Linked DNA regions of Astyanax mexicanus. The protein of the gene in region 2 binds, or shares a complex with, the protein of the main gene of each other region. Links are inferred from orthologs where the notes say so. Each region holds a gene or a part of one and is shown on either strand. Other genes may lie near its edges.

Evidence for each region.
Region 1: the proteins of pex14 (region 2) and pex5 are in contact, whole or in part, in an NMR structure (PDB 4BXU), measured with the Homo sapiens proteins. The link is inferred for Astyanax mexicanus from reciprocal best matches to the Homo sapiens genes PEX14 and PEX5. Residues at the interface, in NP_004556.1 of Homo sapiens: Thr31, Phe35, Asn38, Arg40, Val41, Ser44, Pro45, Thr48, Arg49, Phe52, Lys55, Lys56; in NP_001124497.1 of Homo sapiens: Glu59, Leu62, Val63, Glu65, Phe66, Leu67, Gln70.

Annotation. Positions count from the first base shown.
Region 1 is NC_064413.1:6,428,194-6,444,301, reverse strand, and holds the start of pex5 (peroxisomal biogenesis factor 5), read left to right. Parts: upstream 1-8,785; 5' UTR 8,786-8,909; intron 8,910-9,068; exon of another isoform or gene 9,069-9,360; intron 9,361-11,468; 5' UTR 11,469-11,512; coding exon 11,513-11,626; intron 11,627-12,433; coding exon 12,434-12,472; intron 12,473-13,521; coding exon 13,522-13,639; intron 13,640-14,902; coding exon 14,903-15,046; intron 15,047-15,937; coding exon 15,938-16,028; intron 16,029-16,108. Other genes in the region: clstn3 (calsyntenin-3), read left to right, coding at 455-639, 3,770-3,919.
Region 2 is NC_064420.1:41,364,395-41,380,937, forward strand, and holds the start of pex14 (peroxisomal membrane protein PEX14), read right to left. Parts: upstream 9,168-16,543; 5' UTR 8,950-9,167; coding exon 8,848-8,949; intron 7,235-8,847; coding exon 7,190-7,234; intron 1-7,189. UniProt on the Homo sapiens protein: Component of the PEX13-PEX14 docking complex, a translocon channel that specifically mediates the import of peroxisomal cargo proteins bound to PEX5 receptor.

The DNA.
Region 1 (16,108 bases), on a different chromosome or scaffold from region 2:
TCATTTCACTTACTTACTAAGATTGTTTTGTAGTGTATTATTTGTATAAATGTTACATTATTGTTACATTATTTTTATGTCACATTATTAATATTTTATCTCTTTGTAAGTTATTGTTGTACTAAACAGAACTTTACAGACTTTTATATTTCTTCTGAATGTTTATACTGTATAAAATTGTGTCAGTTTTCTTGTTGCAGTAAAATATTCTTAAATAGAATAATATAATATTATTTTTATTTTAGTGTTTTCTCATATCGCCAAGAATATTGTTACTGAAAAAAAGAAATATCATGAAATCTCAATAATTATCGTATCACAATATCAGTTCGTGTGCAGTGCATCGCAGTGACTCATCAATATCATCTGCTTAAGAGTCTACTTTAACAGTCTGGTCTGCAGTCCCCCCCCCCCAACATGTCTGTTTAATTCTCCCCACGCTTCCGTCCTGCAGTAGTCCCGGGGGCCGCAACCGTCATCATCATGGTGTGTGTTGGGTTCCTGGTCGTGATGGTGATCCTCGGCGTGTTCCGCATCCGCTCCATCCATCGCCGTGGGGAGGGAGCCAGGGGCGGCGGCAAAGAGGGAAGCAACCAATGGGACGACTCAGCCCTCACCATCATCGTCAACCCCATGGAGGTAACTGTGGAGCAGAGCAGCCTGGGGAACCTGATCTGTTTACACTACTATAGACATGAACTGCGGATCATATTCTTCAGATTCTCACTGGTGTTTACAAACAAATACCCCAGTATTTCCATTCCAGGATGAACCATAATTTTAGGTATCTCTTTAGTGCAGAACAAAATATTCCCAAATGAGAGCAGCAGTGATTTGACAGTGAATAGCGCAACGTGAGAGCGCAAATAAACTTAAATTAGCTTAAAATGTTTGTCTGATTTCAGCTTACTGAGAATGCAGTGATACTTGAGATTTAAGAGTTAAGCACACCTGATCATTTTTTTATCACCTGATAATTAAATTAATTCAGATTTCTTAAGCATCTTCTCTAGTTCAGCTTCCGGCTAATCCATAACGCCTTTGCAACTTAGGCTAGTTGTTCGCAGTTGGTTATTTTTAGGAGAATGTCAACTTTCATCATCCAATTTAGACATGGATGTCGAAATTTCCTTGTTGTACGTATATAAAGTGCATTACCAGGCTTAATCCCTGTTAGGGAAACTGAGGTTTGGGTTGCCATCTTACACCCTGCGCAAGGCACGTTACGAAGCTCTTTGCTATCTTAAATGCCATCAACAGTCTATTTTCACACCTTGCGCTCGTACCGCTAAGGTAGCGTCTATGAGTTTATGAGAATATCTAAACAGATGGGCGTGATTGTCTGGATATGAGGTTTTCTGGTTACCAGGTAAATATTTGGCATATTTCTATGTTGGTGGAAGTAAACACATTTGCGCTACTGACTAATTTAAACCCTGACAACAGTCAGTAGTCACCTGCCCAATCTTATCTTATCTACGCAGAGTACGCATGCTTGAGGCACACGCTCAGTGCGTGTAAATCCCAGCTCATTACACAGCTTTTACATCAACACTAAGCAGAATACAAAATAAAATAACATTGCTGTTCCCATAAATTATCTTCTGGCGCACCTTCACAGCGGGAAAGCGCTGCACTGTTAAGATATCAACAATCAAAAGTCAGAATGCACCTGGTTCTTAAAGGAAATGACATATGAAATGCTAATTGGTTTATTTCCTGTTACAATAAGCTGGGTAGGTAGTGTATCTTTATAGTGTTTAATACCCATGCCCACTAAGCTGGTTATGTAGTGTATCTTTATAGTATTTCAGTATATTTCTAGCACTCAGTTATTGATCACAGGGTTGTGTGTTTAATTCTCATGCCCACTTAACTGGACAAGTAGTGTACATTAGTAATAGATTAGTGATAATGATACAGGTAGTGTACATTACTGTGTATTAGAGTAAACAATTAATTTGTCTTAAAGTTTATGTCTAGCGCTCACAGGTTATTGATCACAGGGTTTTGGGTTCAAATCCCATACCCAATATGCTGGTCAGGTAGTGTATCTTTATAGTGTTTAATACCCATGTCCACTAAGCTGGTTATGCAGTGGATCTTTATAGTATTTCAGTATATTTCTAGTACTCAGTTATTGATCACAGGGTTGTGGGTTCATATCCCATACCCAATATGCTGGTCAGGTAGTGTATCTTTATAGTGTTTAATACCCATGCCCACTAAGCTGGTTATATAGTGTATCTTTATAGTATTTCAGTATATTTTTAGCACTCAGTTATTGATCACAGGGTTGTGGGTTCAAATCCCATACCCAATATGCTGGTCAGGTAGTGTATCTTTATAGTGTTTAATACCCATGTCCACTAAGCTGGTTATGCAGTGGATCTTTATAGTATTTCAGTATATTTCTAGTACTCAGTTATTGATCACAGGGTTGTGGGTTCATATCCCATACCCAATATGCTGGTCAGGTAGTGTATCTTTATAATGTTTAATACCCATGCCCACTAAGCTGGTTATATAGTGTATCTTTATAGTATTTCAGTATATTTTTAGCACTCAGTTATTGATCACAGGGTTGTGGGTTCAAATCCCATACCCAATATGCTGGTCAGGTAGTGTATCTTTATAGTGTTTAATACCCATGTCCACTAAGCTGGTTATGCAGTGGATCTTTATAGTATTTCAGTATATTTCTAGTACTCAGTTATTGATCACAGGGTTGTGGGTTCATATCCCATACCCAATATGCTGGTCAGGTAGTGTATCTTTATAATGTTTAATACCCATGCCCACTAAGCTGGTTATATAGTGTATCTTTATAGTATTTCAGTATATTTTTAGCACTCAGTTATTGATCACAGGGTTGTGGGTTCAAATCCCATACCCAATATGCTGGTCAGGTAGTGTATCTTTATAGTGTTTAATACCCATGCCCACTAAGCTGGTTATGTAGTGTATCTTTATAGTATTTTAGTATATTTTAGCACTCAGTTATTGATCACAGGGTTGTGGGTTCAATACCTACGCCCGATATGCTGGTCAGGTAGTGTATCTTTATAGTGTTTAATACCCATGTCCACTAAGCTGGTTATGTAGTGTACCTTTATAGTATTTCAGTATATTTCTAGCACTCAGTTATTGATCACAGGGTTTTGGGTACTATACCCACGCCCGATATGCTGGTCAGGTAGTGTATCTTTATAGTGTTTAATACCCATGTCCACTAAGCTGGTTATGTAGTGTATCTTTATAGTATTTCAGTATATTTTTAGCACTCAGTTATTAATGACAGGGTTGTGGGTTCAATACCTATGCCAACTAAACTGGTAAAGTAGTTTATCTTTATAGCATTTATTACCCATACCCACTGAATTTGTTATGTACTGTATCTTTATAGTATTTCAGTAAATTTTAGCACTCAGTTATTAATCACAGGGTTGTGGGTTCAATACCTATGCCCAATAAGCTGATCAGGTAGTGTATATTACTAATCTTTAGTGTATTACAGTAAATAATAGATTTATCTTAGTTTATTTCTAGCACTTAGCTATTGATCACAAGGTTGTGGGTTTGTTCACCAAGGTTCCCTTGGTCTGCTAAGCTGTTGATAATCTAGGTCTGCAGTTAGCATCATGCTAGTTGGTGGGCTATAGGGTTTAGTCACTTGTTTGCTACATTAGCAGTATAAATAAATTAAATTAAATTAAATAAATTAAATAATTAAAACTACTGTTTTAATGTGTATTTCTTTCTCTTTCAGTCCTATGAGAACCGCATGGGCATGGCGGCAGATACAGAGGGCGAGGGCGACGACGAAGACGATGTGGTGGAGTCTCCTGATGACACGGGTGACGACCAGCGAATCATCATCAAGAAAGAAGGAAGAGACTCCGCCCCTCGTCGCTACTGAGTCGGTCATGCAAAAATGAAATGGAAGGTCCTTCTCACATGTTAAACATGAAAACCATGATACACACACTGTACACACTCTCTTACACACACACACATTCACACACAGACACAAAGCATAAATGTATTTGATATCAGCCTTTGTGAATGCATTGTCTCTGGAATGTATGCTCTCACACAAACACACACTCACTTACTCACTCACACACATACACACACACGAAGACACACACACAAAGACACACACACAGTGCACAATGCCCAGGCAACGTTTAGTCCACATTTAACCCAACACTCGACAATGTATGTATGTATGGCACAATGATGTAATTACTGTATGTATATCACTCGTCTATTCCCGTCGGTAAATGTGGTCATCGCACTGTATCTGACAACACTGAACACACCGGGTATTACTGCAGACGAATGTACGCTAGCTGATTTACGTTACTATAGATATACTATTAGCAGGGCTGGCCTGAACAGCAACTCACAGGCTTCAGGTACTCACTGGTGTTTACAAACAACTACCCTAATATTTCCATATTGCCATATTCCCATTCTGTGATGAACCATAATTGTAGGTATGCTCATTACTGTAGTTCAGAATATTCCCAGAAGAGGGCAGCATGGATTTTGACAGTGGATATTGCAACGTGAAGGCGCGAATAAACTGAAATCAGCGTTTTTCTGCCTGATTCCAGCAGACTAAGAATACAGTAATACTCAGAATGAGTTGAACAAACCTGTTGTGTTTGTTTACAACAGGGGCTTATCACCTGATTATTGAAAATTGTTGGAACTGGTGATTTCTTAAGCATCTTTGGTAGTTTCACCAGCCTGCTATCTGTTTGAATGGGGAGAAACCAAAATACTTCAAAATGAAAGTCTATTTACCATTTGGATCCATAATTCACTGCTTGTTCTGGCTACTGCACTTGCGCAGATCTCCACATAGAAGGAACGCTGATCCTCCATGTGCAGTGTAAGCAGCAAGCTGATTGGCTCTCCAAATAGCGGGACTTTATCCTTGAATGGACGCTGATTCTGGACTTCCATATCTATTTCTTTAGCTTCGTGTTCTACCATAATGAAGTAAAACATTTTTTTTACTGCTGGTGAGGAAGAAGATTTTTTCCATGTGTTTATTTGAATGGAAAGCACCAACATTTTCAAACACCTCTACTAAATACTAAATACACAAATACAGTGGGATGGAACAAACACAAGGTTTCAGTCGATTTGGGCCAGCCCTAGAAATTAGCCAGTTTTGCAAGAATACAATTAAAAATTGAGGTTTACGTTCAAGTCACGAGTTCATCATGGTTCAGCATCACCAGTTTAGTTTTCTTCAGTCATTCCTCTAGACACACTTAACAAATGAATCTTCCAGACTGGATATAAGCTATGTGTAGATACTGTACCTCCACTTTCCCAGCAGTCACAGTCACATAATAATTATAATAATAATAATATTATTGATAATAATCATGGGACGGTTCTCAAAAACAACTTCACTCACCTACAGATATACACACCTACACATAAACACACACTTGCGTACTGCAACACTCCCCCTCCTCAGCTGCATCAGAATGTTTGCTCAACCCTGAGCAGTTTTGATTGTATTTAAATGTATGTAAATACAAATTACTACTATTATTATTATCATTATTTTCTTTCTGTTATTGCCATTGTTCTTAAACACACTTCTCGCTCTGCACTGTTTTCTATTCCCATGCTTACGGATTCTATAACATTGCTGTCTAGTGATAATGATAATAATAGTATTAGTAATAATTCTGATAATGATGATAATAATGGTAATGATTGGCTTGATGAGTGTCTATTTATTTGTGTGTTCAACAGTGTAATTTAAGAACTTGTTCATATCTGAATCACAGTGAAATGGAAAGGCACATTGTGGTTATAATGCAGTGCTCCTCTTTCACTCCTCCCGTCCCCTCCTCCTCCTTTTCCCTCCTTCTCTCCCTCCTCCTTTAATCCGTCCACTTCTTCTTTTTGTTTTCTGAATGTACAGCTCAAACTTCGCCCCCTCCTCCTCCTTTGCCGTGTCTCTCTCTCTCTCTTTCTCTCTGTCTGTGTCGGTGTACAGTGGAAACCTGTCAGTTAATAAAGGCCTGTTGTTTTTTCAATGTGATATTAAGAATGGATATAAAAAAAACCAAATCTGCATTAATATCTTAACATTATTACTATGGTTACTATTGGGACATTTATCTGTACTTACTATTGATACGATAACACAGATTATGGACTGATTGTTATTGATAAATGGTCTGAAGTAAGAGAAAAATAAATAAATCTGTTCCAAAAGTTCATAATAAAAACACTCGGATGACGACAGCATGTGGTCTGTGGTGAATAAGGGTTCTTGATTTTTTTTCTTCTATTATTTTCCCATTTTTCTCCCAATTTAGCTAGGGCAATTGTACCACCCATTCAGAGGTTATTTAGCTGATGCCACAAAACAAGGAGGGTGAAGACTAGCACATGCCTCCTCCGACATATGTGACATTAGACTTTGCCTCTTTTTTAAACTGTTGCTGATGCAGCATTGCTGAGTGAGCTCGGAGGAAAGCGCAGCGACTCGGTTCTGATACATCAGCTCATAGATGCCTTGTGCTGATCAACATCACCCTAAGAGTGATAAGGGGAAAGAGTGCCATCTACCCACCCAGAGAGAGCAAGGCCAATTGTGCCCTCTCAGGGCTTCAGCAGCTGATGGCAGGCTGCATGACTGGGATTCGAACCAGCGATCATAGTGGCAGCGATTTAGACCGCTGGACCATTCCGGTGCAGAGGGTGCTTGGTTTTATTGACCCTTTAAGGCAGCAGTCTTTAAGATTTTTTTCTTTTCAATTGAATGCAGTAGTGTACCTAAATGCTTCTGCTACAATTTTTGCAAAGCCACATATACCACCAGTCAAAAGTTTGGACACACCTTACATTCAGTGTTTTTTTTTTTTAATGTTCTGCATTGTAGACTAATACTACAGTAGTCATTCAAACTATGAACAAAACATATGGAATTATTTATTAACCAAAAAGTGTAAAACAGCCAAAATATGTTTTATATTTTAGATTCTTTAAAGTAGCACCTCTTGCTTGGATGACAGCTTTACACATCTTGGCTGGATTTTTAACAGCTGTGCTGAACTCATCAAGAGTTAATTACTTAAATTTCTTGCCCTTATTGTGTTTGAGAGCATCAGTTGACATTTAACTGGTACTGTATAATTATTCTAAAAACAAGAGTGCACTGGGCCATCAACAAGAAGATGGTGGGTTTGATACCTGGGTTTGGTGGGGTGCATTGTTGGGCCCCTGACCAAGGCCCTTAACCTTCATTGCTTCCCAGGCACCACAGCGATGAATCCAGGCACCTGTTCTCACTGTGTCTCTGTGTGAGTGAATTATGGGAATTGGAGTGGGGTCTAATAGTGGGTACAGATGTATGATGGAACATTCCATTCCTGAAGTTGTGTGGTTGTTCATATACCGATCCTCCATCCCCAGTGTGTACTGGGAACACAGTGTGTTGCTACTGCAATGGTAAGGTGGTAAAGATTTTGACTGGTGGAAAAGAAATACACTTAAACAATTTAAATATGTTAAATACACTTAAAATAAGTTATTTTTAACATCAAATGATCAGATGAAAGAAAAAAAAAACATTCACAGACTATCATGTGATGGACTTAAGATATTCAGTATATTTTACTTAAAGCCTGTTATGAGTAAAAAGAACTTTAAAATAGCATTTAAAACCAATTACAGTAATGGGCATTCAGGTCAAAATATATATTTCTTTAGATTTATAGTCACATACTGCTGCTCACAGGTTTTTCACAAAGGAAGGTCCAAAGTCTATGGATATGACGGCATTTAAGGGCCACTCTTAAAATAAATGAAAACAGTTGACATTGAGAAGAAAGATGCAATATTATGAGGACCAACACAAAGGCTCTTGAGCAAGACCCTTAAACCTCACTGCTTCTCAGGCACCACAGCGATGCATCCAGGCATGTGTTCTCACTGTATCACTGTGTGAGAGTACTTACTAGTATGTATGTATCAGTGATGGTTTGGAGAGTCATGCCATCTGCTGGTGTTGATGCACTGTGTTATATCAAGTCTAAAGTCAGTGCAGGGTTTCCCTGGAAAATCTTACTGCACTAAATGGTTGCCTCTGCTGACAACTTTTATGGAGATGCAGATTTCATTGTCCAGCAGGACTTGGGCACACATCCCACTCTGCCAAAAGTACCAACTGGTCTTAATAAAAATATTAATAATAATATTCTTATTTTCTGACACACTGATTTTTGGGTTTTCATTGTCTGTAAGCCATAATCATCAACAATAAAAGAAATAAACGCTAAAATATATATAAATCACCCTGTGAGTTCCACATTTTTAACTGAATTACTGAAATAAAGTAACTTTTTTAAGTTATATATATATTTTTTAGATATGTTATTAAGTCAATTGTTTTTATTTTTTTAAGAGTGGCCCTAATAAGCTGTACACATACATAAATAAACAAGTTTGGTGAGAAAGAACTTGACTGGACTGCACAGAGTCCTTACCATAACCTTATAGAAAACACCTTTGGGATGAATTAGAGTGGAGTCAGGACTTAAAATCTGACAAGGAGGTTTATGTGTGTAAAGGCAGACGAGTGAACAATTTTGACAACACTGTGTATTATACATTATACAATATAATATCCTGAAAAGCTGAAACTTTCCCAACTTGATGATTCCCCTTTAAACTTTACCTCACTGTGATTATTTGGCTGGGGTTACTGTGTGAGAGAAAGAGAGAGAGACAGTGGACTTTGAATCCGTCCTTGAACACATGACGTCTGTAACTAGCTACTTTTTAAAGCACCTTTCCTAAAGAATAAACAGCTCGAATTTAACAGCTGAGAAGCTTTAAAGTGTTTGGAGTGCAGGGGTTAAGCAGTAAGTAAGAGTTTTAAAGCAGTAACTCGAGTTTTAAAGCGAAAATTTGCTTTGCTGCTTTGCTGTCTGTTCTCTGCTGTCATTTTAGGAATCTAACGTAAGCTACGCACCGTGCGCCTGCCGCGTGTAGGCAAGCGGGAGCCTCGAGCTGCGTAACTCGCGTTGGTGAATACCACTGTGGTGTCTGTTGATTCATGCAGAGCCTTCAGTTAGTGGCGCCTCAGGTGAATAAATAAAGATTTACACGGCGAGCTGAGCAGCGCAGGACGTGCCCAGCGGCTCGCCTGAGAGCCAGCCGCTTCTTAATCGCCTCTGCTTTGTAAGTAGCCCATAGGTGACCCTGGGTGCGTCATATTTTTGGGCAGGTTGCTAAGCTAGCTAACCCAGCGACTGCTGTAATAACGACGGCGTTAGTGGCTGGAGCGGCCGGTGCTGAGCTGTGGGCTGAGCGGTGAGTTTATTAGCTAGGTTAGCTAGATTAACTCGTTTAGCATTGTAGCTACACGTATATAAGAATAAACAGTGCTATTTAAAGCTATTTAACTTGCAGTTGTTAAAGGTTAACATGATTATTAGACAGCTAAGCGAGCTAAACAATGCGCTGCTGTCCTAATAGCTACGTGCCCTCAGTCTTGGAAGTGCCTCCTGTGGTTTATTAGGTTAGCTAGCCTTCACTGATGTGTAAGTTAACCAAGGTTAGCTTAGTTTAGCTTGCTAGCTAAATAGCCGTTACGTTACTAGCAATTAAAATGCTGGTGTATAATAAATATATTAATAAGAAGAGCATAGTTTTGAACAAAGTATTGTATTTGTTCGCATTGTTACCAGAGCTGAGTGTGGCATTATTTGTGTGTGATTGGTGAGAATTGTTCCGTTCCACCTTAAATGGTGCAGATAGATCCAGCAAAAGGATGGAGCTGCTGCACCATTTAAGGTGGAACGGAACAAGTCTCATAACAAACCTAAAACAGACAAATACATGTTTAGTAGGATGTTTACATCGGTGGTGAACCCAATAGTGTCTTTTTTTAACATCTTCTTTAAAAATATACTAAAATATCTTATTATTATTATTATTATTGTTGTTAGATTCCAAAGTGGGAATGCAGTTCCTACACAGACTGCGTGTGTGATTGTGGCTCAGCTCTATTGCTGTGGTTTAAAGCTGTGATATGATGGTTGCTAGGTGGTTGCTATGGCATTGTTGTTGGTTACCAAGGTTTTTAAGTGGTTGCTAATATGTTGCCGTGGATTTAATCAGTGATGGTTCATAAAGTGTGGCTGAGTAGTTTGTAGTTTGTTGCTATGGTATTTGTGTTGGTTGCTATGGTATGGCTATATGTGGGATGGCATGTTGAGCACTTTATTCATTCCTCTCTGGAAAATCTGTATGATGATTTTTACGAAAAACGTACATTGGATAGATTTGTGACTTCTGTAAACGTTAGGTTTATGTTTGGGGTTTAGTTTTTGTTCAGATGCTTTTTGTGCAAATAGTTTTGCATTTTTTCAAAAGCTATGTGCAAGCACAAAATTCCTGATTATGATGAATGATCCATCCATCCATCCAAGCAAGTTTATAGATGAATTTGTCATTTATTGAAGACAGTAATATAATTAGTATTAGTGATACAGGCTCTGATTAGAGCTGGGCAATATGATGATATTTTATACATTCATACATTTTCTTATCACTGATTACACATCACTGTACTAAGCAGTATTTGAATAGCACTTTTTAAAAATCTGAAACTTCTGATTCCTTTTGTCTGCATGTCAGAACATTGCAATACATACTGTTTATCATAAAAATAATTTAAATATTGTAATATGATATTTTTTTCTTTACCATATTACCTAGCTCTGTCACTGTGTGATGTACATCACAGAAGGTGCTTTTTATACTGGTAATATCGATATTTCAGTTATATCGTATGGACTGAAATTAAGAAACATATCATGACATAAGTTTTGGCTATATCGTCCTGACCTAGCTGTGATATTAAAATGTACTTTTTATTGCAGAGAGCTTAATTTGACATTAAATTGTCTTAAAATATAAAAAAATATATATTTTTACAATATTGCCCAGCCCTAAATTACACTTACTGCCCAGATAAAGAGCTTTTTCATTCTGTGTGTGTGCAAACATAGCCTATAAAAATGTTGAATAAATTATAGCTAGTTTAATATGTTCACATGACCTCGCTTTCCATGGATATTAAATGTACCACAGGTATCTTTCAGGGGCAACATCTTGGAGACCTTCATATTGAGCACCCACAACTTTTATAACGTGCCCAGCGGCTAATCGTTTTAGTCCTAATCAGCTTAGGCACCATATGTTGATGCCACTGGACAGATTAGGCCAGAGGGTCAGACAGTGATAACGAGAGGAAGGGTAGGGGTGAAGTTGAAGCTGATTCTAGAGATGATGATGATGATGATAAAGTTTTTTTTATTTATCAGCCTTGTTGATAACAGACAGGTAGATCCAGAAGCTCCAGTTTGGACTATAGTGTAATAATGTTTTTTAACTTTTAACACTCTGTTTTCCAGAACCTCCCGGGTGCTTGTCGGAGCCATCCTGACCCTGGGTTACCATGGCGATGCGGGAGCTAGTGGAGGCGGAATGTGGGGGAGCCAATCCCCTCATGAAGCTAACAAGTCACATGACTCAAGAGGGGGGAGCTTGGAGACACAGGTCAACGCCCACTGTGAGTTTATTGGTGTTCGGTTGTTTTGCTACTATTTGCAGGGTTGGCTGGCCGTCATATTCGTATCGATGCCCTGAAATTTTTTGATATTATTTTAGGGCTGTATTGGCCATTAGTGTATTTTTTTTTGCTGTTTCTAACTGATAACTGATTCTAATTTCACACTAAATATCTACTAGAGACTAGATTTATTTTACTTAATTTCTGGTATATGTAGTGTATTGTTAGTACCATGACAAAAATATTCTGCAAAATCATAATATTATTTAAGGGCCTTGTTGGAGTCAAGTATTAGCATACCTGGAGGCTTGGTAGTTTAGGGGTAAGGACTAAAGCTTATTTTACCAAAGAGAAAACCACTTAAACTTTTTGAGTTTCCTCTGCACAAGAAAGATGCGTGTATGTGAGCCATGTCGTGTCAAAAATAAATTTTTAGAGGCTCTATAATCAAAAATTGTGTATTTACACAAACCTGAAACGGGTTACAGTTATTTTCAAGACTTTAGAAATTCACTAGTAGTCTACAGTAAGGCTAACAAGCTACAATTAGAGACAATTTTGGATAGTGGCTGATCTGTTACTGACTGATGTTGTGAGAGAAAGCATTCTGGATTTCCAAATATTAAAATCTCTCAAAGAGCTTCCTGAATTGTTTTGTGAGTAGTCATTTTCCACCAGTATGTGCTGTTCAGAAGCAAGAGAAGCAGTAATGCAGTGCCATATTAGTCACAGTTCTGTTCAATTTTTGGCATCTAATGTGTGACATTAAATGTTGAACATCTGTCTTTTCTGTGTTTTTCCTCTCAGATTCCCCCCACACCAATCGAGATTGCCACAGAGGAGGAGGTAATTTTAGTTTCAGATTATTTTGGTCATGCCTGTTCTGTTAAGCAGTTTTCACTTTAGATCTGAAGTTAGAATGTTTCAAAAAGTACAGTGGCTTGCAAAAAAATGCATGCCCTTGAAGCTTTTCACTTTTTGTCACTTTTTAACCACAAACTTTAATGTACTTTATTGAGATTTTAATGATGGATTCAGCCCCCTTTACTCTAAAACCCTTAAATAAACAGCATAATATAGACCAAGAAACTCACCAGACAGGTCAGAGATACAGTTGTGGAGAAGTTTAAAGCAGGGTTAGGTTATAAAAACAGATCCCAAGCTTTGAGCATCACTGGACAGCACTGGTCAGAGAAGCAGCCAAGAGGTCCTTGGGCCCACAGCGAAAGTGAGAGAATCTGTTCCACAGAACAACTCTTTGTCGTGCACTTAATAGATTTGGCCTTTATTGAAGAGTGGCAAGAAAAAATACATTTTTGAAAGAAAGACAAAGTTTTTTGGGGGGCAGTTTGTCCCAAGCCATGTAGAAGACACAGCAAACGTGAATGAAGGTGCTTTGGCCAGATAAAATGCAGACCGCTATGTGTGGTGGAAAAGTAAAGCGGTTCATCACCCTGAACGCACCATGCCCACTGTGAAACATGGTGGTGGCAGCATCATGCTCTGGGGCTGCTTTTCTCCAGAATACATGTCAATACTGGAACAAAAACCTGTTGAAGGCCTTCCAGCAAGACAATGACCCTAAACGTACAGCCAGAGCTGCAGTGAAATGGTTTTATCAAAGGCACATATTCATGTTTTTAACTAATTGTGCTTATATATCACCTTGATTTCAGTATCGCAGTATAGAGAATTCCTTTCTGTTTAGTTCTTGGACCAGTCCAGTTTGTCATCCAACTGCATATGTGTCAGTCGCCAGGTTCTTGCCAATATATCATGTTTTTCAGGTGGACAGAATTAACAAGTAAAAAATTCTGTTATGGGAAATATGAAATAAGAAGTTTGTTTGACAGCTTGACGTTTCTGCGTCTCACTGACCACACCTTTAATTGCAGCTGGTGAGCGAATTTCTCCAGGCCCCCCCTCGGCCTCCTAACAGCTTTGACATGGGCCAGCTTCTGGAGGAGATGCAGCAAATCGACCAGCAGAGCTACAGACAGGCCCCACAGAGAGGTAGCACACACACACACTCACACACATTACACATGTGCTAACCCGGAGACCCCCAGGGGTCTGTGATTTACAGCAACAGATGCAGCAGATTTAAAGGAAATGCTGTTTCTGTTCCTGAAGGTCGGGAAAGTTTCTGTCACTGCTGGGAGTGTAGAAGCTGCCAGTACGTGAGTCATCGGTCAGTGAGAACTCCGAGGAGGGGAAGGAAAATATTTATAAAAAGGACTGACCCGGGATAAAATTCTTACCCTGTGTATGGTGCTGTAATAAACAGAATACAGAGTAATATCTATACCCTACGTATGGATAAGGTTTTACTGGAATTATCAGATTATTAACGTAATTTGATTTACGTAGATTCTCTTCCTTTGCGGGAATATGAAATTAAGTGACACCTCATTATTAATCCATACGGTTTAGTTTGATGTTGGCCCACTCCTTGCAGCTATAACAGCTTCAACTCAACTGGGGAGGTTTAGGAGTGTGTTTATGAGAATTTTGACCATTCTTTCAGAGGCGCATTTGTGAGGTCTAACTGTTTCTGCCAAACAAGGGAGCATGATATTGTGATAATGGAAGTGATTGGAACACCTAAATTTAGTGATTTGGATACATTAGTAAATACTTCAGGCAAGCTAGTGTATTGTGCGATAACTTCATAATGTAGTTATATTGACAGGCCTGAGCACAGTTCATCATGTTATGACTTTAAAGACTAAATTACCATATTTTTTGCACTATAAGACGCATAACTCCTCATTGTGCCTTATAATCCAGTGCACCTTATGTATGAATTTTACCAGTCAGGTTGTAAGGAGCAGTAAAGCCAATCAGCTGAAGTACAACATTATACAGGAGTTTCAGTGAAGTTTCTCCAGCACAGAGACTGGAGCAGTATTAGCATTAGCCACTAAGTGCTAGCTCTTTCACCATTCAGAGGTGAGTATATCGGATTGTAGTCTGCATGTTTAACGTTTTAAAGCAAGCTACGTGGGTCGAACCACTAGCTAATAGCACCTGGCTTACCTGAACACTCAGGTTTCCTCAGTGTACCACTGTCGGGCAGCACTAACCGCTGCACCCACATTGTAAGCCTACTGTAAATCTATCTATCTATCCAATATCTATCTATCATAGATACCGTAGAGAAAGTCTTACCTGAGGCTCTTCCTCACACTGTGTAAAATGTCTGATTCTCTTGTAAACAGAATCACATGTTTGTTTATTTATGTGATTCAACACATCAGTACTTTCTGCTTCCAGCTCCAGATGTAGCCGCATTGGCGCTGTCCGGCGACTGGGCTGCAGAATTCCTGTCTGGAGCCGACTCTGCTGCTTCTGCTGGTCAGGCAGGTCTGGACGCAGCGGATGCTGACTGGACTCGGGAATTCATCAATGACGTAACCGGTTAGTCTTATATGACTGTGTGTCTGTTCAGCTACCCTTTTCTAATCGTTATGTTATTGCTGTACAAAGTTAGAATATGTTAATTGAGTGAGAGTTCTAGACACTAGAGATGCACCAAAACAAAAGAAAATTTGGGAAACAGATTTAATAAATATTGGTATTTTCTTTTTTAGCTGTGCATAAATTAAATAGACAAACTTTTCTTTTGCTTTTTAAAGAAAGCATAATTCTTTAGAATACGTTATTTTGTCTTTCTTTTTACTTTTTTTTGCAGAATAATTTTGGTTTGCCAAATTTAATGATATTTCGGAGTTGACGCTGGAGGCGAACCAAACCATGGTTACCATGGTGTAACAAATGTGGAGTTTTTAATGACCGGGTTCGTACGGTCATGAAAAAACTGGAAAAAAATTTGAAAACAGCAATTTCCATGCCTGGATAAGTTTTGGAAAAATAGTACAAATGTGTCAGCTAGAGTTATTTCAGTATTTTAGCCCTAAACAGTGGAGCTCTCAGGATCTGACACACATTTTATTATTAAAGTTTGCGTGTCAATCTTTTATCTGATTAATTTTAGAATTACTATAATCAATTTTAATTATAGTTTTAGTTCATGATGTTCTGATGTTTTAAAAATCATATGGTCATGAAAATTTGCCTTAAAGGCATGGAAAATTTATGAAAAAAATAATGAAAATGTATTGGTTAAAACATGTATGAACCCTGAATGACTGATGTTGTGTGGTTTTTGACACTGTGTGACTCACTATTACACTATGCAGTTTGTTAAAATACATGGATGGATGATTTAAGGGGGTGTAAGGGGGAAACTGTTTAAATTAGATCTAAAATTCTCATTTTCTTTATTTTCTCTCTTTTTTTTGTTCTCAGATCCTGGGCGATGGGCTGAAGAGTATCTGGAGCAGTCAGAAGAGAAGCTTTGGTTGGGCGATCTGGGAGAGAAGGAGCAGGAGAAAGAATGGTAAGAGAGAAAAAGAGCAACAGCTGAAAGCAAAATTGGAGAAAGGACAGAATAAAAAATGTAAAACATTATAAAAGGTC
Region 2 (16,543 bases):
AGACAAAAAGCTAAATTAATCAGCAGTGTCCGATTCTGCTATATTTAAATGCTTGCTTCATGCATAGTACAGTGGCTCTTATTAAATTTTTCTGCACATTTGTTTTTATATACACTCTCTGTAATGAAATGTACAGTTAGGTTGGTGTTCTTTAAGTACTGATGATATCCTTAACACGCTTACTGTCAATATCAGTTTATATCATCCAGATTTTAAAAATATCATCCGACTCAAAACATCTGCATATTGAAACAACTACAACTGCTTATTCTCCATGCACCAAATATATAACATGAACAGACTTATAGCACATTTTTAATAATAGACACAGAACACAAGATTTTTACAGGCTCTTTTTATGATGATATGTGGCATTTTTCTATGTTCCAGAAGTCCTGCTGATCCCCACAAGCTCCTCAGAACAATGTTTTTTCTAACTTTATTATTATAATAACAATAACACGGTCATATTGCCCAGCCATAATTACAAGACAGACAATATTAACTTTCCAGTCATTTTTTCTCCCCTACAATTTAATAAAACTGACTACCTTTAGGGCAACTGAACCCGCGCACAGTTTAACTGTGTCTCAATTCCTTGTACAAGCAGCCGTGCTGAACTTCTCACAGCCTCCTAGTGACCATCTTCCCCAATAATGCGGGAATATCTAAGAGGTTTGGGTCCCCATGCCAACCATAACGGCCTTTTTACTGCAGACAGCTCCGGTAATGGATTACACTCACAATTAGAGCAAAATAATGAGGAACAAAACGAGCAGAAAAAAGCAAAAAAAACACTCCTAATTGCTGCAAAGCTTCACCAAAGGAACAATGTGTTAGTGCTTTAGATTTATGGCCGGTTACAGTCTCTGAACCTCTGAATAATTAAATTTTGGGCTTTATAATTATGATACCCAGAACTGACTTATCTGTTCTTCCCATTATTGTGTTTTGGAAATTTTTCATAGCAACGAAGATAACAGAACTTTTACCAATAAATCTGATCAATTTTGGCTAGAGTTCAGATTTCATACATGAAGCTAAGCTTTCAAACTCAATATCTGATGCCCCTTGATGGGCTGCATCTAGATGAGTCATTCAAGAACTGCTAATATAGCCACAGGAGCAATGGATTACTTTTGCATAGCTTTTACAACAAAAAATTACATTCAGAAATACCATTTAAAACTGTACTGTGCAAAACAGAAGCCATCAATTTCTCTAAAACTGTGATAAACCATCGCACAGTAGTAATAAATGCATTTTATGGTGAGATGCATCAGTATTCCTGACCTATATTTCTTATTAGATGAATAGGACGCCATAACCTCTGGACCAAATAAATAAATATATATATAAAAAAAAAACATAATTCAGACTGTTATCAGCAACACGTTCAAAAGCCAGGGACCATCAGCATATGGGGTTATTTTAGTACATTTAGCTCTTGGAGCCTTCAAGTACTTTTCACGCAGCTCTATGCATTTTTTTCAACAAGATACAGCCAAACCACATGCTGCACACATTATAAAGGCAAAGATGTAGAAGAAGAGGGAAGTCCTGTAGTCCTGACCTGTCCCATAATAGACAATGCGTGAAAACAACTGTGAAACAGAAACTGTGATGACAAGGTATTTTTGTTTACAGGAAAACCTCCTTTTCAAGTGTTTTTTTTTTTTTTTTAAGTGAGAAGGTATGGCAACATTACTAAGGACTTCATTGCTACAACTTTTTTGTAAGAAAAAAATGAAAGGCCTGAATAGCAGGAATGAATGTATATTAGGGGTGGCCAACATACCGGTAGCTGTAAATTAATATCAAAATGGTTCAGGGTGTTTTCTCGATAACAATATTCTTGCCGATATGACAAAACATTTAATAAAAAAACTATTAATGTATAAGTTTCAAGAATACACCACTTAAATAAAATAAATATTGTAGTTTATTTGGTGATATTTTTGCATACGATATGACATGGCACACCTCTAATAGAGTCAAAGATTCAACAAGTCATGATAATAATAATACACTCCATAGATCCAGGGTTAAAATAAAATAAATGATACTGGACAGATATAACCTCATATATAACAGTCTCTAGAATTATTTTTAAAAAGTTGCAAGAATAAAATAATGTGACGTTATTTTGGGTATTTTTGCAAAAACAATATAAAAAAAATATTGTCAATATTATTGCGTACAATACAATGTGGCAAACGAATTTGAATAAATTAAATAATTTCTGCCAGACAAAACATAAAATACATTGGGTTCATACTATCTGCAATAAAAATAAAAGCACTGTAAATCTAAGAAACAATTTTTATTTTAATTTTATTTTCCATACTGTTTGTGTTCAGCTATATAATCTCTATCTTTCACAACTGTTTCAATAAAAATCTATTTATAAATGCTAAAAAGACAAAAGGTTTTCATGGGGTGTCCTAACATCTATGTGAAATGAAAAACCCACACAATTATTTCTGTGTTCAGATAAAAGGGTTAAATGGGATTTTTGGCAATGTTTTGCCATTATTTAGCCAGAGATCATGTTAAATAACAATTTCTAAAGCTTGTCCATTCTCAATATACTTTGTGGGCAGAGCCTGGATCAACATCAAGCTAATCAAACAACAAATAATCAATCAAACCAAACAACTCCAACTGCTTTCTCAGAAACAGTTCAGCCTTTCCAGTAACAAAGGGAGGCCGCTTCTGGCGTGGTCCTGAACAGCGCCTGCTGCCTAGAACTACTGTGTTCCACAAGTCCCCAAAGAACTAGAAGCTCATTTTCAAAACTAACATATGAGCAACAGATGTCTACCATAACTGCAGGGCAAGGGGTGACAGCAAAGCGGAGGGAAAAGAGAGAAACCAGGAGGAAAAAAATTAAAACGGGATTAGTGAAAAAGACAGTGACAGAAAGGCCGAGAAGCCACCAACCCGCCCCCGCCCTCCGGCCAGTGCCACTGGCTGTAATGTTAATGTTGGCATCTTGTTAGACTGCCCCCGATTCCTGGGCTTTGTGAGGTCTTTTTTTCCCCTTCTCCCAACATGGTGGTGATAGCAGAGGGGCTCCGGAAATTCGGAGACTGCTGAGCCAAAACAGATCACTTCAAAGCGCCTTATTTAACGCTCACTAAATTTTTCATCACAGTCGCTTAATATCCTGGGGAAGGGGAGCTTTTGAAGTCGCAGCGAGACCGGCATGTTCTTCTGACAACTTTTTCTTTTTTTTCCCCTCCCTCTCCTCCTTTTTTACCTCCTCCCTCAGCTTCTGCATCCCTGCCTCTTTCAACAGGAGGCCGGTGATATTTGGGGCACACAGAGCGAGCCCAGCGGGCAGGGCAGGGTCGGCCTGGGAGTCTGTTCACATACAGCCCTGCAGCATAACCTCACTACCAGCTCAGGGTACGGTCATTAGGGGTGTGCCATATCATATTGTACACAATGATATTGTTAAAAATTATAAAACAATATATATATATATATATATATATATATATATATATATATATTATTAAAATCAATAAGCAGTCTATTTTGTATGATGATTTGCTGTAAAGTTTAAAAGGTATAATTTTTGACTGTTGCCATTTATTGTATATTGATATAGTACTCATGTTACATGACGTTACTTTTATGATACATTTATTTTGCTGTAAAAAATCTTGTTAGTTTTTTATCAGTTATTCATAAAAAAAAAAAAAAAAATCTGATGTTTTCTGTTGAATGTTTTTGTTGAAGTAGTATATTCTGGAAAGAATATATATATATATATATATATATATATATATATATATATATATATATATATATATATATATATATATATATATTCAGCATTTTAGTCAAACCAGCGAGAATACCGTTATTATAAACATACCCTCAAATATCAAGATATTATTTTAGGTCCACATCACCCACCCCTAACAGTCCCCATTACAGTGGAGTAAAGGCAAAAACATTTAACGTAAAGCCCACTTATATAAACAATCTTAATCTATATAGACAAAACTGTCATAGGATACCTATTAATTTATTGCTTCTACCAAAATCAAGGGTAACTGGAAAAAAAATAAAGTAGTTGTAGTAAATGTAACTGTCCCCATTGTCCATGGAGGACTTTTAATTATACTGTATCCCCAAAGGACTGGATGAAGCACTATTATTCCAGAGAACACAGTTCTACTGCTCTACAGCTCAATACTGGTGGATTAATCCATCTCTAACCCACAGCTGGCATTAGGAATGATGTAAATAGGTTAATGTATAACTGCTACAGAGAGTCCTATTCTACTGGCAGTACTTCTCTACACAGACAAGACAAGCTGTGTGTATACTAACTCTATTTGTAAGTAAATGTGGATGGTGATAATGAATAAGGAACAGATTATTATTAACAATGTAAACCAAAAGATAAACCTAGACTCCCAGTGGCTCAATTCAAGTTTTAAAGAATTTACTCAATATGTGAAAACTGAAATGGAGATCAAGACAACAGACAGAGTACAACACTGTTATCTTGCAGCCAGGGCTTAAACACTACATAAAATAAAGCAGTGAATTAATGAATGAATCATCTTAGAATCTAAGAACTGACAAAATACTGCAAAAAAAAAATCAATATTTCTAGTAATATTAAAAAAAAAAAAAAAAAAACTTCCATAAGCAACACTGCAAAAGAACCATTTGTGGTTGCTAAAACAGTTGCGAGTGTAAAGCATCTTTTTATTATCTTCTATAAAACACTCTTCTAGCAAAAAATACACACTAAAATACACACATTTGAGTTTTCACGTTTTACACTCCTAATTACACCTCTAATTATCATTCAGAGACTTTTACACCACGTTCACACACTCAAACATCAGATGTAGAACGTGCTATGCTGTTTGCCTGAGGTGGAAATTTTCACAGCATTAAAGAAAGAGGAAATGTACGGGAGGCGTGAGGGAGAGGAATGAGGGGGAGAGAGACAGATAGAGATAGAGAGAGAGACAGATAGACAGATAGAGAGAGAGACAGATAGAGTAAGGAATAGAGCACAGAGGCTGAGCCGGTGAGCTGGGTGGGGATGCCAGCCCCCGGAGGCGAGCTTCATTCAGGCTTGAATGGGACTGGTGCTGGGTTTGATTGACAGCGCGAAGCGGAGCGCAGGTCCAAACCTGCTATGGCTCAGACGGCCGGGGCCGCCTGCCACCGAGGAGTGAGGACCGCCCATCCCGGCGAGGTGAGTCAGAACCTGTTAGCATGAGTGCTGTCCCCAGCCTGACACCCCGGCACAGCCGCCCAGAGCCTGCCTCTGACTCCCTCCAACCCTGCCACCAGTCCCCTTCCTCTCATCCACATCAAATCCTTTCAGACACAGATTTCAATTATTCACCTCATCCAAATAATGCCTTGTGACATGAATTATCCAGCACTGTAATAATCCACTTAACTGGGAAAGAGCAGCTCATCAAAAAGAGAAAAGGAGGGGGAAAAAAGGCGACTTGTCGACCGGTTAGGAGGCCGAGGAGCCTTAATAATCCACATTTTTTCCGCTTTTGAGGTGAGCGCCTTGAGCTCGGTTTGAGATCATATATGCCGTGAAATCACATTAAACAAAAAGGAACAATTCAGAAACTAATCATTCGGATGTTACTAAACAAGCTGCAGGCAGTGTGTGTGTCGGTGAGAGAGGGAACACAAAGGGGATGGGTTCGATTCTGGGTTTTAAATGACATATAAACCAGTAAACACTCTTAACTACAGGATAATAACTTCTGGGACAAAAAAAAAACGGCTGAAATAATTAGAATATGGCTGATTACGTCTGCTCATCAAAAAGACAAATAAATAACCTCATCATCGTCTCTATTATGTCTAGCTCTAAATTTATGCAAAACATTATGCTCAACCCAAATAGATTTATGCAAAATATTACCCTGATGCTGTCTCTGAGGTGAGATGTTAAAGTACATGTTGTTAAAACACATAACAAGAGAGCTTTCTGGACACCTTTTATATGGCAAACAGCTAATACAATAATATTAACATTATTTGGAGTTATAGGATAATAAGTTACAGCCTTTTGCATTAATGATTAATAACACAGCTAGGGATGAGTGGACCCTATTCAAAACTAGCTTTCAAACATTACTTATTAGCAGATTTAAACTTAATTCCTTTACTGTGACCAAAACTGCTTCTACCAGGTATTAGAACACGTTTTGTATCCGTTTCTGGATCTATTTTGATTACCTTGATTCTGTTTACACTTGTCACTAAAATGCATCCTTTATGCATACTTTCCTGCATAAAATCAAACAAAACATCCATAACTTCTGTTTTCCCAACTATAAAATTTGTTGATCTTGACCATTGTCGTGCTCAGAGAAAGTGAAAAGTTTAGTAATAGTGGAGTTTTAGACAAAAAGGTCTCAAAGCCCTTTAAAATGTGGCAGATAACAAACATACAAACGCCTGACTGACAGAATTTAATATTAAAAAGGCCATTCTGTTCACACTTGCATTAAAATGTGTACGAAATCCATTTTTTGACCATTTTTTTATCGGATAACTCAAACCATGTTTGGAAGAGGCCATAAATAGACATGGGGTGTTTAGTCCTACATTCTGATGCAAACAAGTGAATCTTAATGTTATCAGATCATCATTAGAGAAATCACTGATATATATTATTTATCAGGATGATATCAGGATAAATGCAAACCTCGCAAAAAAGGTGTATATATAAAAAACTGAATTGTATTTAAAACAAATACAAATCCCATCATTCAAACCCATTTCAGGCGGTGTTCTGACACACATTTGAGCCACATATTAAAACAGTGTAAATGTATCTGAGTCTACAAGACACAATCAACAACCAAAACTTCTCCCAGTACAACTGTAACACCAGTAATAACTAACGCACAATTTTTATGAATGTACATCTTCCATCCTGCACAGAAATCAGATTTTGGGCTGACTAACTGGAGGCACATTGGGTCAAAAAGTGTAAAAATGCATGTGTTTAAAACATTAAGAAGTGACCAGGTGTAAACAACAGTGTGTAAGCGCACAAGATGGTCTATCATAATCTGAGTAAGCATGTTGAGAGCACATGTTTAGACTCTGTGTTTTTAGAGGAGTTTAGTGAGGAAGGATAGAGGTGATATTCAGAGCACGAGTATCGTCTTACCAGTGCTTCTCGTGGTGGAGCATCGTCTCGGACTGGAGATCCACTCTGCAGAGAAAAGAGAAGAGAAGGCTTGTGTTACAGCTCCACCTAGAGGTGTTTCTTACATAATACAGTGAGTTTAGCTGGACTTATTAACTAAACTGAATTCTGACTTCATTTCCTATTAGAAATATTGTTAACTGTTAGCAAACAATCTGTTCATTATACATGATCATTCTTTACATTTCTAACTACAAAGCGGGAAAATTACTTATTAATTACTCATTAATTGACCCTTTTATTACAATACAAAACAGAACAGATTAAGTGGGGAGTAATGCTATATTTATTTCTACACTGAACTCTATTTACGAGGCACGTCACAATAATTACATTATTAAGTTAAAGTACAACAAATGAGCATAACCTCAATAATGCTGACCTCAAATGTTGCCAATTCTGTTTCTATACACAAGCAGAACCCATAAATATCAATAAAGCTGATATGCTGACTTGGTTTAAAAACAACAGCAGGTGCATTTTATTAATGTTTTATTTATGTAGGATATTTTTAAGAGACGGATTGATCAGCATTTTATGGGCCAATCACCGATCGGCAGGGTCCAATCAACCATTCCAGGCAAACTTAGTAATTTTACCTAATTACAGCCATCTAAAACAAACAGCTGCCTTAAATAAACAAACATTTAAAAAAAAACAGCATACAGTGCTGTGAAAAAGTAAATGCCCACTTACAGATTTCTTTTGTTCACACAGAGTCAGGTTGGTTTGGATTTTTTTTCTTAACAAATTAAATCATAATTTAAAGTATTCTTTTTGGTTGTCCGATATTAAAATGTGTTTAAAAGAAATATCTTTATCCAGAGCTCATCTTTCTGCTTTTATATTAACTATTGATACTGTATGCTGAAGATAATGGTATTTTAGAAAAGATTTTAACGGTTTTATAGGATTTACAGGAAAAAAATACCCTATCAACTACATTAAAGCCAGTGATTGTGACACTAAAAAACAAAATTAAGATCATTATTTACAAAAAACTAAAAATTAATGCAAATGCTTTATTTATAGACACTTAATATTAGTGGGAATTTGTAAAATAAAAGTAAAGTGTATTAAGGAAATGTATTAATTTTAACATTAATCACAGTCGCACCACATGACATTTTGTAAGACCAAGGCCAACTCTTCTAAATAAAAATACACTAAAATCACTCTAAAATCTAACATTTTAATATGAGTTTGTGTTCACAACATTTTAAATTTTTGAACAATTGCAACACATACTTTTATTTTTTGTATTTTAAAATTGGCATGTGTGTGTGTGTGTGTGTGTGTGTGTTTTTAAGCATTTATTCTAATAATAACAATATTCTACTGTGACATCATCCAAGCTGTATATATAATATGCCACACATCCTCTCCCACATCCTCTCCTTTACATTACAAACACTGGGAAACCCCAGCTAAGAGTCTGACACATATAAGCTAAGCTAGCGTTACCTACAATACTGCAGAATTTATTAATTTATTTTTGCACACCTGAAAAGTTGTGATTTTTTAAATATTATTTTAGATGGCTGCTGCAGTACTGGTGGTTAAAATGTGGTGGTTAATTGTTTGTGTGGTTAGTAGTGTTTGTTAGCTCTGGTACACACTGAATGGGCTGAACGATGCACTGTCCCGAGCAGTATTATCCAGTTAGTGAGGTTAAAAGTATTTTTTCTCTTTCCTCCATGAGGAACAATAATTTGACACATTGTATATACAAATAAAAACAGCAGAAACTGCTAAACAGAAACAGCTAATCTCCACACTGACTGCTAACGAGCTGTTAGTGGCAGCAGCTGTGCTCCAGCACCAGAGTTCCATCTAGTGGTTGGACGAAGGTACTGCAGCTTTCTAAGACCAAGCTTCACCAACTGTAAGCCGCACAGTTCTGCTGCAAATCTTAACTCACCTATATGATCTGATAAGTTCTCAGGATTGGCCGATAAAATAAATACCCTGATATCTAATATATTTAAAAAAACACACACACACACATTATTTATAGGTATACGTTTGAGCAAAATGAAGAGTGTTGTTTCATTCTACAAACTACAGACATTTCCCCCAAATCAAATTTAAAATAAAAATATTGTCATTTAGAGCATTTTGCAGAAAATGAGAAATGGCAGAAATAACAACAACAAAAAAAATACATTTTGTTTTATCAATGCTTTATCAAGCACTTTGCATCTAAAGATTTGTTAAGAGACTGTTCTGATTGGATAAACAGTAAACTTTCCTTTTACTCAGATATTGTGCATTTGGAGTGTTAATACCAATACATTTGTCCTATAATTTTATTATATATTTATTTATATATATGGTCTTGCTTACAGTATAACGATAGCTCAGTGTATCATTTATTAGTTAATGAAAATAGAAAATTGTGTGTTAAAATTTGTTTTTTATTTTTTCCAAATTTGGTGTTGTAAATAAGAAATGTTTTTTTTTTTTTTTTTTTACAATTTTTGTAAATTTTTGCATCTTGTAAGAGTAGGTTGTGCAATACCATTAAACCGGGAAGAAAAAAGAATAAATATTTTTGGTGAAAAGAAAAAAGAAAAACCTTTTTTACTAAACCAAATGTGGGAAAAAAATGATTAAGTTTTACACCAATTTTTAGGTTTAGCCTCAAAAACAGTAAATTAAACAGATGAACACTGACCCAGCAAGCTAAGAAAAGCTCAGAAAAGCTTAGAAATCTAAAAACCTTTTACAGACACCATAATTACTGACACCAGTCACAAAATGTAATGTGCAAAAACACACATTTTCTAACGTCTAGTTATTGTGTAAACAGAGTCCTCCCTATTAGTGTCTTTACTAATAGTTTTAAATTAGATTTAAGCTCAGTCAATTCTTCCCACCATTATAAAAGATGAGACTAAAAGGTGGGTGACGACTGTGGAACAACAGCGGCCTGTTCAAAACTGAACACAGGAAGTAGAGACTTAGCACGCTAATGTTATTAGCTCAACAATAAAAATGGAGCAAAATTCAGTCATTGTTTCCATTGTCAGTGATCCATGCCTGTCCAAAGGGCTTAATCAGGTAATAAAATTCCAGCCACTGCCAAAAGAAAAGTACAGCAGACATCTAAATAACATCTCAGATAGTAAATCTCAGGTGAACGGATTACACTCTCTTTAATGCCCTCTCGTCATTTTACTCCGTCTCTGTGCCCATAACACAGGTCTGTACTTTACTGTCCTCTAGTTTTATACTGAATTCAGACTGAACCCATTATTATAGTTCATTCCTATTACATTCTGGATCCCTGACAGACAATATCAGAATATGGACAGGGGCCAAGGTATTGTTGGATAGGTTGCATGATTATTAAGGGTAAAGGTGAGCAGTATGGGGTAATTTTAGCTTACACATGATCAGTGTACTGCAACTGCATGCTTCATTACAATAAGCATGTCAATGTGATGCAAAATTCTCAATTTTATTTTTTTTCAATAAAAATGAGGAATCCAGTTTTACTGCTGCTGTTTACATTTTACAGTTTTTACCTTAATCACATACAGACTGTGAAGTGTAAGTAGAAGCAAAGTTATAATAGTGTGAGGTGCTGGAGTCTCGTGGACAGGGGTTTAAACAGAAGAAACCTTCAAGTGTCAAAAAATAAATAAATAAATCACAGTGAAAGCTTTAAATACCAAACAAACACTAGGTCAAAATAAGTCCTGCCAAAGTTTACAAATATGATTGATCTAGAAACCTTAAAACATTTTTTTTTCATGCAAATGAATCCTCTTACAGAGCCTGGTGATGTATCAGTGGTTTTATTTAGTGATGTAAACACAGAATCACTACTGAGTTTAAAGAGTAGATTTTGTATTTATTTATGCTAAAATCTGGATTAAATCTCATAACTAACTACTCCTTTCTTTTCTCCTACACTCACACACACAGCTACTTTGTTGTTTTACGACACCTTGTCATTACATTCAGTCTTATACAGATAAAAGGGTGCGATTAATCGTAGAATGTTGATTCCATTAATACGATTACATTTTAATAAGTCATTAAAACAAATTAAGCCTTATTGCAAAAATACTTTCAAATGTAAAGCTAAAATCACTTCCTCACATTTGCCCCGTTTTCTATTTTGCGGATCTGAAAAAATAAATTGTGATTAAAAATCATGATCTGGTTTAAACTGTGAGTTCCTTATATCTGTTAGACCACCGACTGTGACACAATGTCAGACTCAATTGTCAAAATGACAGATAAAGTTTTTTTTTTTTTTTTTTTTACATAACACTGAAGATACTTGGTCCCGTTAAACTGGATGTAGGAATAAGAGAAAATTAAAATGCATATCCTGAATGCATATTCTTTTTTCTCAGAAGGCCAATCCTGATATCACAGCCTGATTCCTCCATCAGAACAAGGTGAAAAGGACAACAGAGCTTCTACACTTTCACTCACTTGTTGGATTTCAGTCGGGAAGCTGACAATCATTCGGCACTGTAACAAAACACCAGCAGAGCCTGGAAGCTGATATTGAGCTCAAGAGCAAACAGGGGCTCAACTCCAGTACAAACCAGCAATAACAGCAATAACAGAATCTACAGTGCAGAGGTCATATATTCAGCACAAATATCAGAATTCAGGAAACACTTAATGAAAGCGCTATCAGATGTCTATGCCAACAATGAGTCAGAATTAGGTTACATAAAAAGGCTGAAGTGAACTGAAGTGAATCACATCAAATAAAAATGACCGTTTGACAGCTAAAGTCCTTTAGGGAGATTTAGCAGAATTTCAGTGGTGACGCACTGTTCTACTGTGCAGCATATATATTTTATTGAAACACAGGTGCTCTAAACCACCCAAGGCATGTCCTCCAATTTGACGTACTAAAGTTACTGCTTCATTACTCCACATGATCTCGCTCCTAAAATGAATTAGGTAAACCTTCAGTGAATACTAGTTGTCAAATTCACCAATAAACCCATAATTCCTGGTATTTGCTTGTTTAGGATGAGTATTTTATCTACATATTGTGAGATGCCCGGCGATTCCCACTCCTAGTTCTTAGACCCCTACCCTTACATATTTTTAGTTGGATCAGGTGTGCTGGAAGCAGGGAACGGACTAAATGTGCAGGACAGGGGGTTCCATGACCAGGATTGAGAAACCCTGCATTAAGCAAACACACACTTATCACACTGAGCCTCTCACAGAGTTTCCTAACACTGATAACAGCGTCCAAAGACAAACCCTTCAAACATGATCAGAGAGAAACACTGATCACTCAGGCTGAGATTCTGTACTGAGAACTAAAGGATTTAAAAAAATATTAATAAATAGCCTGTATAATAATTAAATCGCTAATATTCTTCTTTTGCTGCGGAAACACAAATGTGGGTTTTTTTTCCCAGTTAAATATTTAATTAAAATCATAATGTTTAATGCTTAGCACATGCATAAAGGTTGCATGTATTATAAAAGTTACATATTTTTGTATTGTGTATTATCACCATCTTTTATAAAACATTTAAAATATTGTTTAGCTTCTATTTAGTACTTCTGGATAAGACATTTCAGTGGCATTAACATATGTGATTATTAAGCATCAAAAGAATATCTCAAGACAAGTCTGAATTCAGGTGGTGATTTTTGGCCAGGCAATGTATATACATAGATAGCTAGTCGGACAGAAAGACAAACAGATAGATAGCTATATATTTAAATAGAAATTTACAGAAGAATAGCTAGAAAGACTCACATAGACAGATAAATAGCTATATATATATATATATATATATATATATATATATATATATATATATATATATATATATATATATATATATATATATAGAGAGAGAGAGAGAGAGAGAGAGAGAGAGAGCGAGAGAGAGACATGTATGGACAGAAATAGATGACTATCTTTACTGTCCGTGAAAGGTTTCAACCAGATTGTTGAGCATTGCTGTGAGAATTTGATTTCCTTTAGGCCAAGAGTGTTATGAAGACAAGATGTTGAGTAGATTACCACACCGCATCATCCCCAACACCCTAATGCATCCTAATTCAATCCTACTTTAAAAGTCCTATTCTTTTGATAATACAGGAACTAAAAAAACTGTGCATGTTTTTACACATTAATATCAGACATTTTAACAGATGTTTGATAGACAGACAATGGGATATAAAGACAGACAAACACAAAAAAACAATATACAAGAGAGGAACACAGACAAACAAAAATAGACAAGTACTGACAGATAGATATACAGATAAGACAGAAAGTGATAAATAGACAATATACAGATGTATACAATAAACAAACATAGAAAAACAGAAACAGAGCCAACCAAAACAGAACAGTCATGTAAAAATAGATAGGTAGATAGATAGATAGGTAGATTAAAAATGATGAATTTCTTTGATTTTACTCAATTGAAAACCTCTGGAATATAATCAAGAGGAAGATGGATGATTACAAGCCATCAAACCAAGCTGAACTGCTTGAATTTTTGCACCAGGAGTAAAGGCATAAAGTTATCCAAAAGCAGTGTGTAACACTGGTGGAGGTGAACGTACCAAGATGCATAAAAAACTGTGATTAACCAAATATTGATTTCTGAACTCTTAAAACTTTATGAATAAAGTTGTTTTCTTTGCATTATTCGAGGTCTGAAAGCTTTGCATCTTTTTTTGTTATTTTAATAAATTACAAAAAATGCTCTAAGTGATAATATTTTTATTTGGAATTTGGGAGAAACGTTGTCCGTAGTTCATAGAATGAAACGACAATGTTCATTTTACTCAAACAAATACCTATAAATAGCAAAATCAGAGAAACTGATTCTGGACCTGTATATAGACAGATAAATACAGACAAATACAGATATAAAAGAGAGAGAAAGATAAACAGATACAGATGTATACAACAAACAAAAACAGGCAAGACAGAAACAGACAGCCAACCAAAACAGAATATTGGTGTACACACGAGTATGTAGATGTAAGAGATTAAACACAGAGCTCTTTCTCTCTGTAGTGTTTAAGGCTGTGCGGTATGTGTGGTGTGTCAGTGCAGTGCTCAGGCTGAGTGTAAACATTAACACGCTGCTCTCTCTGTGGACACTGACCCGGGCTCGGCTCTGCACACATATCCGTTAGCTAGTTAGCCTGCTAGCCTTGTAGTTCCAGAGCTGAAGATTGCTGCTGGCTTTATCTACACACATATAAACTCTATAACTAAATAAACACGATATAGTTAAAGTGTTAATAAAGCCCTGGCTGGTTTATAAACGGTCTGCGGGAGGGCTGGAGCTGCCTGTGGCCTGCAGCTGTCAGAAACAGCCCGCTAGCAGCAACAGCAGCAGCAGCTGGGCTAAAACTTTTCCTCCACCAACTAACTAACCACAGATACACTAACACACACAGACCCAGCACCGCACAGCGGCCCGGCCTCACCGCCGCCAGCCCGTTTTAGCTCTTTACCTTACTGTGCTGCTCGGACTGATCCGAGGGCGCCATCCTCTCCAGCCTGCAGCTCCTGCTAGCTAACCCAGCTAACAAGTTACAGCTGAAGCGACTGAGTTTCTGCTTCGACTCACCGAGTCTGGGACAGGCTGAGTAATCGAGCCAGAGCTGCTGAGTGACTGAGGCCTAGTCACCAATCACATGGGGCTTCCACAGGTCCACTGATAAATTATAACCTACATTTCTAAACAATCAAAGACAGACAGAAACAGACATACAAAAAGTTAGTTAGAAAGACAGACAGACACACACAGACACACACACACACACACACACACACACACACACATACACACACATACACACACACATATATATAGATATATATAGATATATATATAGATAGATAGATAGATAGATTAAAATAGACTGACAGACATATAGATAGATAGATAGATAGATAGATAGATAGATAGATAGATAGATAGATAGATAGATAGATAGATAGATAAGAGTCAGACAGTCACACAGAAAGAAATGTACATACAAGTAACGTTAGATATTTACCTGATCTTTCTTGATTTCCAATCGCATGACTGGAACCAAAAATAAAAATATGAAAAAGAATTAAAATAAGCAGGACATTTCGATTCTATTTCCTATATTTTATTCTATATTCCTTCTCCTCTAAACTTCACAAATGCAATTACTGAAAAAAGATATTTACAGCTACTTTGTGTCCTTTTAGTTATTAACCAAAATGCTAGTCTTTTTCCTTTTCAAAATGTCAAAGATACTACACGTGATACACAGCACAGCACCTAATAAATATATAAACATAATAAATATATAATATTTACAGATTATTCATGTATCGTTTGTGCTAATCATAAATATAAAGACCTAAATTGATAATACATTTCTAATATTTGTCTGCTGTTGTATAGTTCTGTCCCATGGTCTCTGTCTCTAAGAAATGGGGCAAGAATCCCCGTTAGATTCATTACAGGAAACCTGTCGGTGTAACAGGACACAACATTACACACTATTTTATATTTTTACAGAATAAGCAGTTTTTTTCCACACAAATAATGTTAACAACACACAAATTATGTCCACTTTAAATATAGCTTATATATATATATATATATATATATATATATATATATATATATATATATATATATATATATTAGAATTACTAATTAGTAGTAGTATTGAGTACATGTATTGAGTTTGAGTAGGCACAGACACTGGTGCTTAAAAAACTTGACTTGACCAGAAAGAAAAAAAAACTAATTTGATGTAAAGTTATTTTTTAGGTAACCTCATATCATAGCTAGATAATATTTGTATATTGGACCTGGTTGTGGTACAGTGTTTAAATGCTAACAATGTGAACTCCAGTAAATATTAAATTGGCTTAAACTACAAGGATATTCAAAGTATAACAGTAAAGTACTCCTCACCCGTGACTCCAACACTGCAACTTTCCACCGTGCAGCACTTCTTCTTGTTTTAATAAACAGAAATGGAGGCGTCGTATAATTCTGAATAACCGCATTGCTAAATTAACTGGCGTTAGCTCCACAGGTACTCACTGCAGTAAAATGACCGGTGTTCTGTCGAGTCGTGCTTCCTTGTCAAACCGTGCTTCCCTAATGTATATTAACTGTAAAACTACAAAAAAAGAGAACAATATTCGAGCATGTTCGTAGTAGACGTATATATAATATATTGGGAAAGCATAAATCACTGTATAATGGTACAAAATACAGCCAGATATCATGATATTATCATTTTTAAATAATAATTATTGTATTTATTGTTATTCATTTCCATTTACACTTC